Cricetulus griseus: one gene and its partners. The protein of the gene in region 1 interacts with the protein of each later gene in a pairwise test. Links are inferred from orthologs where the notes say so. Each region holds a gene or a part of one and is shown on either strand. Other genes may lie near its edges. The genes, in order: Atn1, Siah1 and leukocyte receptor cluster member 8 homolog.

Region 1 (3,539 bases):
CCGCGTAAGACATGTCAGGGCGCAGGGCTGGCCCCGCTGCCAGCGCCAGCCGTTCTCGCTCCAGGGGCCCCAGGCTCGGATGAAAAGGGAAAGGATGCAGGCCAGGTGGCCCGGGCTGTAGAGCCAGGCCCCCGTGTCGGGGGAAGGGATCCAGGCCTGGCCCGGGGACCCCATGCAGGGGTTCTAGCTCACTAGGCTTCACCTCAAAGCCAGGCTTGAGCCGGTCACGGAGGTCACGTTCACGGGCTTCCCGCTCCCTTTCTCGGGCAGCTGGGTCGCTGCTGTACAGGGCTGGGACATTGTAACCCAGAAGCCCCGGGTCCACTGCCCCCAAGGGCACATAGAAGGGGTGGTTGCGATTGCCAGGAGACATGACGTGAGGTCGGGCGTATTCGCTGAGAGTGCGCAGGGCTGGAGTGTCAGGACCCAGGTAAGGGGGCACTGTAGCCACGGCGCTGCCAGGCTCAAAGGGAGGCCGATGGGGTACTGGACCCAGAGATGGGCACTCCACCGGCGCACGGCCCTCCTGGGCCAGCTTCTGCAGAACACGGAAGGGAGCGGAGTCAGAACTGCAGTTTCGGAAAGTCACCGACCCCAGGCCGCCCGGCACGGGGCTCGGCGGTGGAAAGCCAAAATGCCTCACCCCACTCCCAGCTTTCTTTTCCTCCTGCCTGGAAGCCCGAGCTTTCTGGGCTGCAGTGGCTCCTCCCCTCCGCCAGGTGGCGAAGCGACCGGAGCGGCGAAGCCCGGGGCCGGGAGAGGCGCGCGGCGCACCTTGTGACGCACTCACCACACTGCGCTCCAGCTCGCGCTCTTTCTCGCGCTCGCGCTCCTTCTCGCGCTCCCGCTCGCGCTCGCGCTCCTTCTCCTCGCGCGCGCGCTGCTCGGCCTCGCGCCGCACCTTCTCCACCAGGTCGGCGCGCTTCTTGGCCAGCTTGGAGCCCTCCAGCGGCACGAAGTACAGGTCGCTGCGCGCGCACGAGTTGAAGCCGCGGTCCAGGTGCTTGTTGAACCTGCCGGGCGCGGAGGTGTGAGCCCCAGCCCCGCAGGCGGCCCCCACCAGCTGCTGTCCCCAATCCTAACAGCACGGTGACCGAGGGGCGCGGGGCCCCCGCCTGTCGCCCTGCGGCGTCCGCTCCCAGGCCCACCCGCTCCCAAGCCCTCGGCCGCTCACCGGGCTGACTGACTGGCGTGGCTGGGCACGTCCACCACCTTGGGAGGAGGAGAGGGGCTTCGGGCCGGGGGCACCGGACTCTCCGGGGTCTCATAGTCTTCAGCCGGCTCCTGTTTGATCTGCGTGGCAGTCAGGGGCGGCCCTGGAGCTGGGGCCGCGGGCGGTGGAGGCAGGGATGGCAAAGTGGAGGGCCCCGCAGGTGGCAGGGCCCCTGGCCCCACGGTGGGTGAGCCTGGCTTGAAGGTCCCAGGGCCGGCTGGCGGAGAGGCGCCCCGAAAGCCAGGTGGGGTCCCTGTTCTGAAGGAGGGCGGTGACCCCGGTTTGTATCCAGGCGGGGTGGTGGTCTTGTAGGACCCCGGGGATGGGGCTCTCTTGCTGTACTGCGGGGGCCCCGGTGGCGAGGCCGTCTTGTAGCCTGCTGGCGAGGAAGCCACGGTGGCGATGACAGTAGAGAGAGTAGCTGAGGAGGTGGTGACTGGAGGAACTGGTGGGAAGGGGTAGTTTGCCCCTTGGGGACCCTGGGATGAGGAGGGGTGTGAACATGAGTAGGAGGCTTGAGAGGAAGAGCCCGAAGAAGAGTTGGAAGAGGAGGAAACCGGGGGGCCATTGGGACCTGCTTGGCTATAGGACACCTGGCCATGAGGTGGAGGCAGGTGCGCTGGCCCTGGTGGGTAGGGCCTCAAAGACCCCAGGGAGGGTGACATGTTATAAGGGTGTGCGTGATGGGAGCTACCGCTCTCTAGGGGGTGAGGATACGCTCCAGGTGGTGGGGGCCCAGAGTTTCCATGATGGTGTTGTTGCTGCTGCTGCTGCTGCTGCTGCTGCTGCTGGTGATGGTGATGTGTGGGGGCTGGTGGGTGGCCTGTGGATTGGCCCCCAGTAGGAGGGTAAGGGCCTGGATGGGTGTTGTTGTTGGCCAAGAGGCGGCCATAGGGAGGAGGTGGTGGAGGACCCTGGCTCCACACGGCCTGGGATGGGAGAGAAGGCTGGGTATACTTGGGTGGCTGATTAGAGACAGACATACTTGTTGGTGGAGGGAAGGAATGAGGGTAACCGGGCAGAGCCTGGGACGCTGGGTACTGGGAGGCAGACGAGGAGGAGGAACTAGAAGCTGCTGCAGAGCCACTGGAGGATGAATATGGGTACCGCATTGGGGGTCCAGGGGCAGAGGAAGAAGAAGCGGGGGGCAAAGGGTGGGGTGAGGGAACCAGAGTTGGACCCTTCTCTGGGCCAGGAGGAAGTCCACTCATGCCCTGACCCATGGCATGGGGAGAGGGCAGATGCCCAGGGATTGGCTGAGCCCCCACGCCAGGAGGAGAGGCTGAGGCATTGTTGAGGGGTCTCAGGGCGGGTGGAGGAGGCAGGTTTGGTGTCACGTGGGGGAAAGTGGCCGGGGGTGGAGCAGAAGGTAAGTTCCCCCCACCCACTGGAGCATTAGGTGTTTTTGTGGGAGGGACACCACTGGCCCCAGAGCTTGATATTGGAATTGGGGTAGTGGGTGGCGGATGCTGCTTGCCTCCACTAGGGGCACCCACTGAAGAGGCAGCTGCTCCCCCTTTGGGACCCATAGGGGGTCCAGTTAAAACTCCTCCACCAGCATTCCCAGGGTAGAGCTGTGGGTGTGGGGGAGGTGCTCCAGGAGGTGGCCCCTGGAATAATCGAGATGCCGGTGGCTCCATTGGAGCATGATATCCAGTAGGTGTCACAGAAGGATGGGGTTCAAAGCCAGGCTCTGGCTGTCGGGGAGTGCTGTCTGGCGGTGTAGGGGAAGGAGGAAAGAGTGGAGGTGGGTAGTAGGGACGAGCTGGGCCCTGGGACAGGCCGGAAGATGAATCGGAGTCATTCTCCACACTTCCAGGACTGTAGATGCTGGGGGATGTGCTTCGGTTATCCTGATCTATGTCCCTAGGGTCACTGCTGCCATCATCATTAATGCTGCGCCCATCCAAGCTGTCCAGATCCGAGGGAGACTGTGGTCGAGGGAGCTCCTGCTGTCAGGGAAGAGGGCTCAGTTTTCCTCTTTTCCTCTCCCTTTTTCCAGGGATCCAAACCTATCTCCCACAGTCATTTCCTCCTCACAGCACTGCTGTGTGATGGGGATGCTTGCTCAGGGCCACCTTCTGTCATCTAGCATCTCCCTCACCCACATCTCAGCTGCTTCCTAATACTCAGATTATTCCCTTCCTTGTCAAACTCCAGTCCTTCTCTAGGGCCCATCTCAAACACTGTCCCTTCTTGCCGCAGACCCTTCTTGCCATCTCATGTGTACCCTACTCTCATCTCTGGTCTCCTTTAGCTATCCCCAAATGATTGGTTTCTTTTCTTCCTTGCTTGTGTTTTTAAAGACAGGGTTTCATACAGCCTA
Region 2 (3,747 bases), on another chromosome or scaffold:
GAGGTGACACTTACCCAGTAAAGAGAGATGGGCGAGCAGGGGAAAAGGGAGACGGTAAGTGTCCTTGGTAGAGATCCAGACAGATGTAGCCGGTGGAGCTGCGATGTGAGGCCAGTGTCCAGGTGGCTGGGTTCCTTGGGAGATGGAGAAGGCCCTAGGAGTCAGAGATACATTCATGGCATAGACAAGGACAGGCGTGGTTAGAGCATGTGGGCGTTGGGGGAGAAGTAGTGAGACAGCGGACTCTAGAATTTGGGGTCAAATTTGATAGATGACAGGAGTTATTGGAAACAAGTGATCTCTACAAACCTTAGGAGAGGCAAATCAGCAGCTTGATTCAGAGCAGCCCAGGTACTTGGAAGGGAGCTCATCTATGCCATTCCCGGCTGTGGGTACCGGATGAATGAAAAAAAAATGAAATTAAAAAGGAAGGATATGACTGCTCCTAGGTATGGTGGAGGGGAGGTTTATTATAGATAAAAGGGAGAGCATAGCCAGAGGCAGGGATATCTAGGAGAGTCCAGAGTGAACATGACCCTGAGCCAGGTCATGTTAGGAGAGAGGAAAGGGGGGGAGGAGAGCCAGGAGAGTACAGGATAGACAGTGAGGGTGTGCATGTAACCAAAAAGGCTGGATTATATAGGGAAGGGCAGCTCAGCCCCTGGGCTGGAGAAATGTAGGGTAGGAGGTGGGGTGTGCCAGCCATACCCTGTAACAGGTAGGGACTGAGGGATGCAGGGAAAACCTGGCAGCCAAGTCCAATTTGTATGTTAAATAAGCACCTCAGTTAACTACGTGTCTTCGGGGTTTAGACCTCACATCACTCATCTATAACCCTTAGCATTGTAACTTTATAATAAACATGTAATTTCTAAGAATTTTAGGGAAATTAAGGGGTGAGCAGTCTTGGTATTCTACCTTTTTATTTTCTTTAAATAAAGAGTGCAAGACTTAGAGAGATGGCTCAACAGATAAGAGCACTTGCTACTCTTTTGGATGTTTTTCAGTACCTAAATAATGGCTCATAACTGTCCAAACTCCAGTTCCAGGATATCCTATGCCCTCTACTGGCCTCTGCTGGCATCATGCATGCAGGTGGTGTATATATACACATGCAGGCAAAACACCCATGCACATTAACAAATGTATATGAGCTGGGGACATAGCTCAGTTGGTGGAGTGCTTGCTTAGTTTTTCCAAAGGTGTGGCACCACACAAAACTAGGTGTGGTGGTGAGCAGTCCCAGTACTCACTGGAAGTTGGTGAAAGCTGGATTATCAGAAGTTCAAAGTCATTTTCAGACTCTTAGAAATCAGTGGTAGTCTAGGATGATTGAGTGAGTCCTGCCTCCACAAACAAAAATTCTCCCAAAAGAACAACAACAAAATGTGGCTAAATGCCCTAAAAATGTTGTGACAAAATTAAAGGCATTAATACTATTTATTTCCTTTTAGATAATAGCTATTTAAACTTAATGCCAAAATAGGCTTGATGTGCAATTTAGAATGTGTAGTTTATATTTCTGTTCTTAAAGCTGTTTGTTGTAGTCTAGTATTAAACAGTTAGGTGGAAGTGATTGAATACAATAAAGGTGGGCAAGTGGTTGGAGTTGAAGTTGCAGAAGGTGTGTGAAACCCATTGTATTGGGGCACTCACTGCCAGTTTCTGGTTGTATTTGAAGATTGTCCTAAGTGTGATGTAATACCAGCTTAAGCTTTGAAGATTCAGCTGACACCATCCAGGTCTGAAGTGTATAGGACTTTATGGGCCAAGGGTAGTGCTTGTTTAAAAACAAGGCAAGCTACTCTAGTTTAATGAGGCCAGTTAAGAAAACTTTCCCAGAGTGGGATGAATATATAACCTCAATTTGGAGGTAGAAGTGGAGGTTTACATGCCCTGAGTGTGTTTACATTCTCACTGCACTGGAAGGGGGCATTTGAAATAGATTGGCACACAAGCGGCAGAGTTAGAATTGAGGAAAATAGTAGTTGAGGCCTGGAAATATTGAGTGAGTTGTGGGGGGGAATGTTTTTCTTGAGAATTCACAGGACAAAGCTGACATTAGGAGTGCTTGCCTGGTTGCGCATTTCCCTTCCTCCCTGTGTGTTTCTTACCCTAGAGACTTAGGAAAGCACTGAGATCCTGACCTCCGGAAACATGTTCTACGGGACTTAAGTGCTGCCAAGTGCACAGGCTTCATGTTGCCGTGGCGTCTGCCAGAGCTGTCCAGGTGGTCTGTGGGGCGGGGCTTGGAGCGAGGTCCGCCCCTTCTCGAGGCCCTGCCCCAGGGCCTGCCAGGTGGTGGAGCCTAAGCAGCAGGACGCCAGAGCTGCTGGCCATCTTCTGCTGACCACCCAGTTTAGAGTTCATGGGAGGTGTTGTCTCTCCTGGGGACAGGTCTTAAGACTGAATGGAAGTGAGCAGCCTTCTATGCTTAGGAGCCAAGGGCCTTGCAGGGTCCTCTGGTGCAGGCTGGCCTTGTGGCTTGCAGGAACCTGACGCCTCGATTCTTATGACCTGGAAGCCGCCCGAACCCCTTCTGCATTCCTGGAAGGGAGTCCTGCTCGCATGCTTGCCGACAGTTAGGACCAGGACCAGGAAGAGGAAAGGTACTGACGTAAACACATCTGTTTCCGAGACAGAAACTGGACTGCACGAATCCATAGATTCTGGTTTAGGCTTGGTGAAAGTCGGCATTGAGGGCTCAGTGGAGCTGTGGCAACTCCTGCTTAAATCTAGCTTTTCAGGTGTGTCCAGACTTCTGTGGACTTGTCCTTGGTTTCTACCTTGCAGCTGCTTGTGGATGAGAGGCTTTGTGGCTCAAGATGGAGCCACACTCCATCCTTCTAACTAGGGAATGGTGTAGCAGTTATCTGTGCTGTCATACTTCCAACCACATTTTGTTTATCATGCTGGGTAGAATATCAGTGTGCTTTCTCTAGTGTTTGGAAGGCAATAAAAATACGATGTAACATGAACCCAAACTTACACTGATAAGTGTTAGAGGTGTTTTGCCAGGTCAAAGCACTGGGCTAGTGTTTTTCTTCTGAACTTGGCTATATTGTGTTTAAATATAAACTGAGCTCTTTGATGTGACCGGAACTGTTTGTTTCGAGAAATCACTTTCCAAAATCTGTGTTCTTTTAAGTGAGCCACAGTTAACATGGTGAAGCAGATGGGAAACCCATGGCTTTGGTAATGCCAAGGCCATTGACCTAAAGTGGATAAATCAGCTGCATAAAGAATTTGATCAGGTGGAAAGTAGAATACAGAGGGGCCATTTTATTATGACACCTGGATCACAGGGCTTCAGATGATGAGAGCTAATTCATGTTGTATTCCTCCATGAGTCTGAGCTGTTGTGGTGGAGTTTTGTCATACTGTATGTGTTGGAGATGAAACCAAGGGATATAGGCAAGCTAAACATTTGTTAGTACTGTTTTGCCCTTTGAACTTGCTAGTATTGCTTTAGTAACAAAAGAAAAAAAATTAAACCTCCAGTGCTGCTCTTAGCCCCCTTATTTACAATGTTACTGTCTACTAAAATTCCATTTGTATTGACTTGGTTACATTTGTAACTTCAGTTTTTTTGAAACTTAAAGGTCTTTGCAACAGAGTGATTATAACTGGGAGAATTACTATATTATTTAGTGTGGTCTCAGGGAGTGCACTATTAGGACATTGATCTTTTGTCAACGTCTGAGATAAATTGCACCCTGCCAAATTCCCCAGAGGCAGAGTCCTGGG
Region 3 (3,747 bases), on another chromosome or scaffold:
TCACCCACGTTGGCCGCCATCTGGACCTTGGGGTGTAGGGGGTAGACCTCGGGAGCCAGACTGCTTTTTCACTGTCTGTAAGAGAAAAGATGAGTTAGGCCAGCATTGGTGGCACACGCCTTTAATCCCAGCACTCGGGAGGCAGAGGCAGAGGCAGAGGCAGAGGCAGAGGCAGAGGCAGAGGCAGAGGCAGAGGCAGAGGCAGAGGGATCTCTGTGAGTTTGAGACCAGCCTGGTCTACTAGAACTAGTTCCCGGATAGTCTCCAAAGCCACAGAAACCCTGCCTTGAAAAACAAAAAACAAAACAAAAAAAAAAAAAAAAAAAACAAAACAAAACAAAAAACAAAAAGAAAAGAAAAAAGATGAGTTAGGAAGACCCAAAGAAGCGAGTATGTTGGATCCCATAAAAAGAACAGGCAGGAAAGACAGAGTATCTCACAGAAGGAAGCACTGGCAAAGTGTGAAAGAGAATTCAAGCACCGTAACCTATGTCTGCAATCCCAGCACTCTTTGGGAGTTGAGGGCCCTGCTTGGTCAAGTGTTGAAATCCTGTCTCTAAAACAAACAGCCAAAAGAGTGGAACAAAGAGCCTTGAGCATGAAGACACTGAATTCCCTAAAACACAGGGTGTCAGAATAAAAGACAGAGGAGATGGTGAAACTGTCATTCGAAGAGCAGATGAGGGGAACCCAGGCCCGGGGATGGATGGGGAGACCTCAGTCCTGGGCAGGGATCTAAAGAGAATCCCCAGAGTACTGACATGGATCCGCCTGCCTCTGCCTCACCACCACCTGGGCTTTGACAGGGATTCTGGGCTGGTGGCGGTGGGAGGAAGGCATCCCAGCAAGTAAAGTCTTAATAATCAGTCAATAAAGTATTAGCTATCCAGAAGTCTGGCAAGACTCAAGTTTCTAAGGAGCATGGAGCGGAGACTTCGAGGAGAACACTGGAGAACAGAGCCAAGTTCCCCCAAGGAAAGGGACCTCTCTGGATCCCACTGAGGAGCTTCACAAAGGGGAGGTGGGGAAGGCTCTCCCTGTGGGAAGGAGGCACTGGCTGTCAGCACCTCAAGCAATTCGAGTCCCCAGAGGACAGAGAGGAAACCCAGTATGGGTTGTTCCTAGGCACAGGAGCTGCTCTGGGAGAAACAACAGGCAACCCCTTGGGGAGGGTGTCTGCAGATAACCCTTCCTTTCTTCCTTCCTTCCTTCCTTCCAGGATGCCCCTGTGGGTAGGACTATGTACGTGTGTGTGTGTGTGTGTGTGTGTGTGTGTGTGTGTGTGTGTGTGTGTGTGTGTGTGTGTGTGTGTGTGTGTGTGTGTGTTGTGTGTACATGGACTGGACGGTGGACAGTCCTGAAAGAAACGTGAAAAAGACTGGGGGGAGGGGGGCTCCGGGGACCCAAACGATAGGATTTACAGAGAATAAGTCCATTGAAGAACCCGGTATCTTACAGGAAGCCTAAGGAGCGCTGAAAGGCCTCAACGAGCTTTCTAAAATAAATAAATAAATATGACAGGCCTCAAAGAGCTTTCTAAATCAATCAATCAATCAATCAGGCCTCAGAGAGCTCTCTAAATAAATAAATAAATATGACAGGCCTCAGAGAGCTTTCTAAATAAATAAATAAATACGACAGGCCTCAGAGAGCTTTCTAAATAAATAAATAAGACAGGCCTCAGAGAGCTTTCTGAATAAATAAATAAATAGACAGGCCTCAGAGAGCTTTCTAAATAAATAAATAAACAAATGACTGTTGGGTGGAGCCGGGGGTGGGGGTGTCAGAACTCGGGGTGCAGGCGGGAGAGCATCAGGAGTGAGGCCTGGGGTGGGAGGGGGACAAGGGGTCTGACGGGCAAGGACGACACGGGCTCTTATTACAAAGACTCAGGAGCACCTGGCTGTCCCGCAGGCACGGGGGTCCCCGACACCCGGTGGAGGAGACAGAGGCCGCCCTGAACCCACGCGACGCCCCCCAAGCTGCCAGCCCCGGTCCCCGCCCGTCCGCGGCCAGCAGCCAGCAGCCAGCAGCAGCCAGCATCCACCAGCCCGGCCCGGCCGCGCCTGCGCACCACCACGCCGCCCGAGGGCCTCGCTCCGGGTTGCCCGGGGCAACGGGGCGGCGCGCGTAACAGCCGGTCAATGGGGAGGGGCGGGGCCGCCCAGGGGCGCGTGTGCGCACGCGCGGGGGCGGCGAGGGGGAGGGGCCCGCCGGTTACGCGCGCGCGCGCCTCGCCCGACCCCCCCCCGCCTCAACCCCCTCCCCCCCCTCCCGTCACCGCACAGCGCGCATGCGCGGCGGCCACACCCTTGGCGGAGGCTGGGTGCGGCGTCGGTTAGGCTCCCCCAGCAGGCCCGGGCTCGCCGGGAGCGGCGCCGGGAGGAGTTGCCTGCGCCCGCCCGTCCCGCCCGCCCGTCCGTCCCCGCCGCTCCTCACACTCACCAGGGCCGCTCGCTCCCGGGGTTCGTCACCGGCGGCCACCAAGGCGGCGACAAGACAACCGCGAAAAGCGCTCGGTCACCGGCCGGCTCGGCTGGGGCTGCAACGTCCTGGCCGCGACGCGATGGCGTCACCGCGACGCCCCGCCCCGCCCCGCGACGCCTCGCCCTCCGGCCGTCCCGACGCCCGCCCGCCCCCGCCCCCGCCCTCACCCGGCGCCGCGCACAGCCAATGGGGTGTCACGGCTCGCTCGGGGACCCCGCCCTCCGCCCGGCGCGCCCCGCCCACGCCCGGGCAAGCGTGTGGGCGTTTGGTGGGCGAGCCGGAAGCGGGGCGTGGACGGCGGCCCCGTGGGGACAAGCGCCGCGGGCGCTCGCGGTTAAGACGGTCTAGTTTGGAGCCTAGTCTTTAGTCGTGAGCTGTGCAGCGCCACGGCTTAGTTTGTTTGTCTGTCTGTCTGTCTGTGTTTAAAGGAGTGGGATGAGTCTTTGAGTCTGTCTTGGGGATGAGTCTTCCCCACCCGGTAGGCTTTGCTGAGTGAGTAAACCTGGCTGGCGTGGGCAACAGTGAGTGCGAGCCCAAGCAAGCGGGAAACAAGCCATCCATTGAGGAGCCGGAGGAGCCTCGGGGCTGCGACGCCGGAAAGGTAGCTGGGGCGCAGGTGTAGGGAGAGGAAGCCTACAGAGCCGGCTCACAGTAGGATTTTTTTTTTTTTTTTTTTGTCTTTTTATTTTTTGGTTTTTGAGATACGGTTTCTCTGTGTAGCTTTGGAGCCTATCCTGGAACCCGCCCTGTAGACCAGGCTGATCTCGAACTCACAGAGATCCCCCTGCCTCTGCCTCTGCCTCCCCAGTGCTGGGATTAAAGGCGAGCATCGCCACCAACGCCCAGCTCACAATAGGCTTTCCTTAAAGCTCTCAGTTTACAACAGCAATGATTGAATTGTGCCGTCCCAGTAGGGGATCCCTGTTAAAATCAGTCAATGAAACAGTACCTTACAGCCCGGCTTCTGCTCCCAGTTGGTACTGGCGACTTTTGGCAACTATGCAACACAAATAGCTTTGTATCATTTTGTTACTATTAGCACGCTAGGGTTTCTTCCCATCTCTCTCTCTCTCTCTCTCTCTCTCTCTCTCTCTCTCTCTCTCTCTCTGTGTGTGTCTCTTTCGTGTTTTTTTTAATAATGAACTTTTATTTTAGAATAAATTTGGGTTTACAGGGGAAAAAAGTTGCAGAGATAATACAGGAGTTAGGTGTAGTGTGTGCCCAGTTTCCCCTATTGCTACCACCTCGGATTCACCACGG

The links.
Region 2: the proteins of Atn1 (region 1) and Siah1 interact in a two-hybrid assay, tested with the Homo sapiens proteins (2 studies listed by BioGRID and IntAct). The link is inferred for Cricetulus griseus from reciprocal best matches to the Homo sapiens genes ATN1 and SIAH1.
Region 3: the proteins of Atn1 (region 1) and leukocyte receptor cluster member 8 homolog interact in a two-hybrid assay, tested with the Homo sapiens proteins (2 studies listed by BioGRID and IntAct). The link is inferred for Cricetulus griseus from reciprocal best matches to the Homo sapiens genes ATN1 and LENG8.

The regions. Positions count from the first base shown.
Region 1 is NC_048601.1:21,659,140-21,662,678, reverse strand, and holds part of Atn1 (atrophin-1), read right to left. Parts: intron 3,166-3,539; coding exon 1,175-3,165; intron 1,014-1,174; coding exon 791-1,013; intron 539-790; coding exon 1-538. UniProt on the Homo sapiens protein: Transcriptional corepressor. Recruits NR2E1 to repress transcription. Promotes vascular smooth cell (VSMC) migration and orientation. Corepressor of MTG8 transcriptional repression.
Region 2 is NC_048596.1:162,344,247-162,347,993, reverse strand, and holds the start of Siah1 (E3 ubiquitin-protein ligase SIAH1), read left to right. Parts: upstream 1-1,202; 5' UTR 1,203-2,410; coding exon 2,411-2,609; intron 2,610-3,747. UniProt on the Homo sapiens protein: E3 ubiquitin-protein ligase that mediates ubiquitination and subsequent proteasomal degradation of target proteins.
Region 3 is NC_048602.1:22,407,035-22,410,781, reverse strand, and holds the start of leukocyte receptor cluster member 8 homolog, read right to left. Parts: upstream 2,588-3,747; 5' UTR 2,446-2,587; intron 76-2,445; 5' UTR 21-75; coding exon 1-20.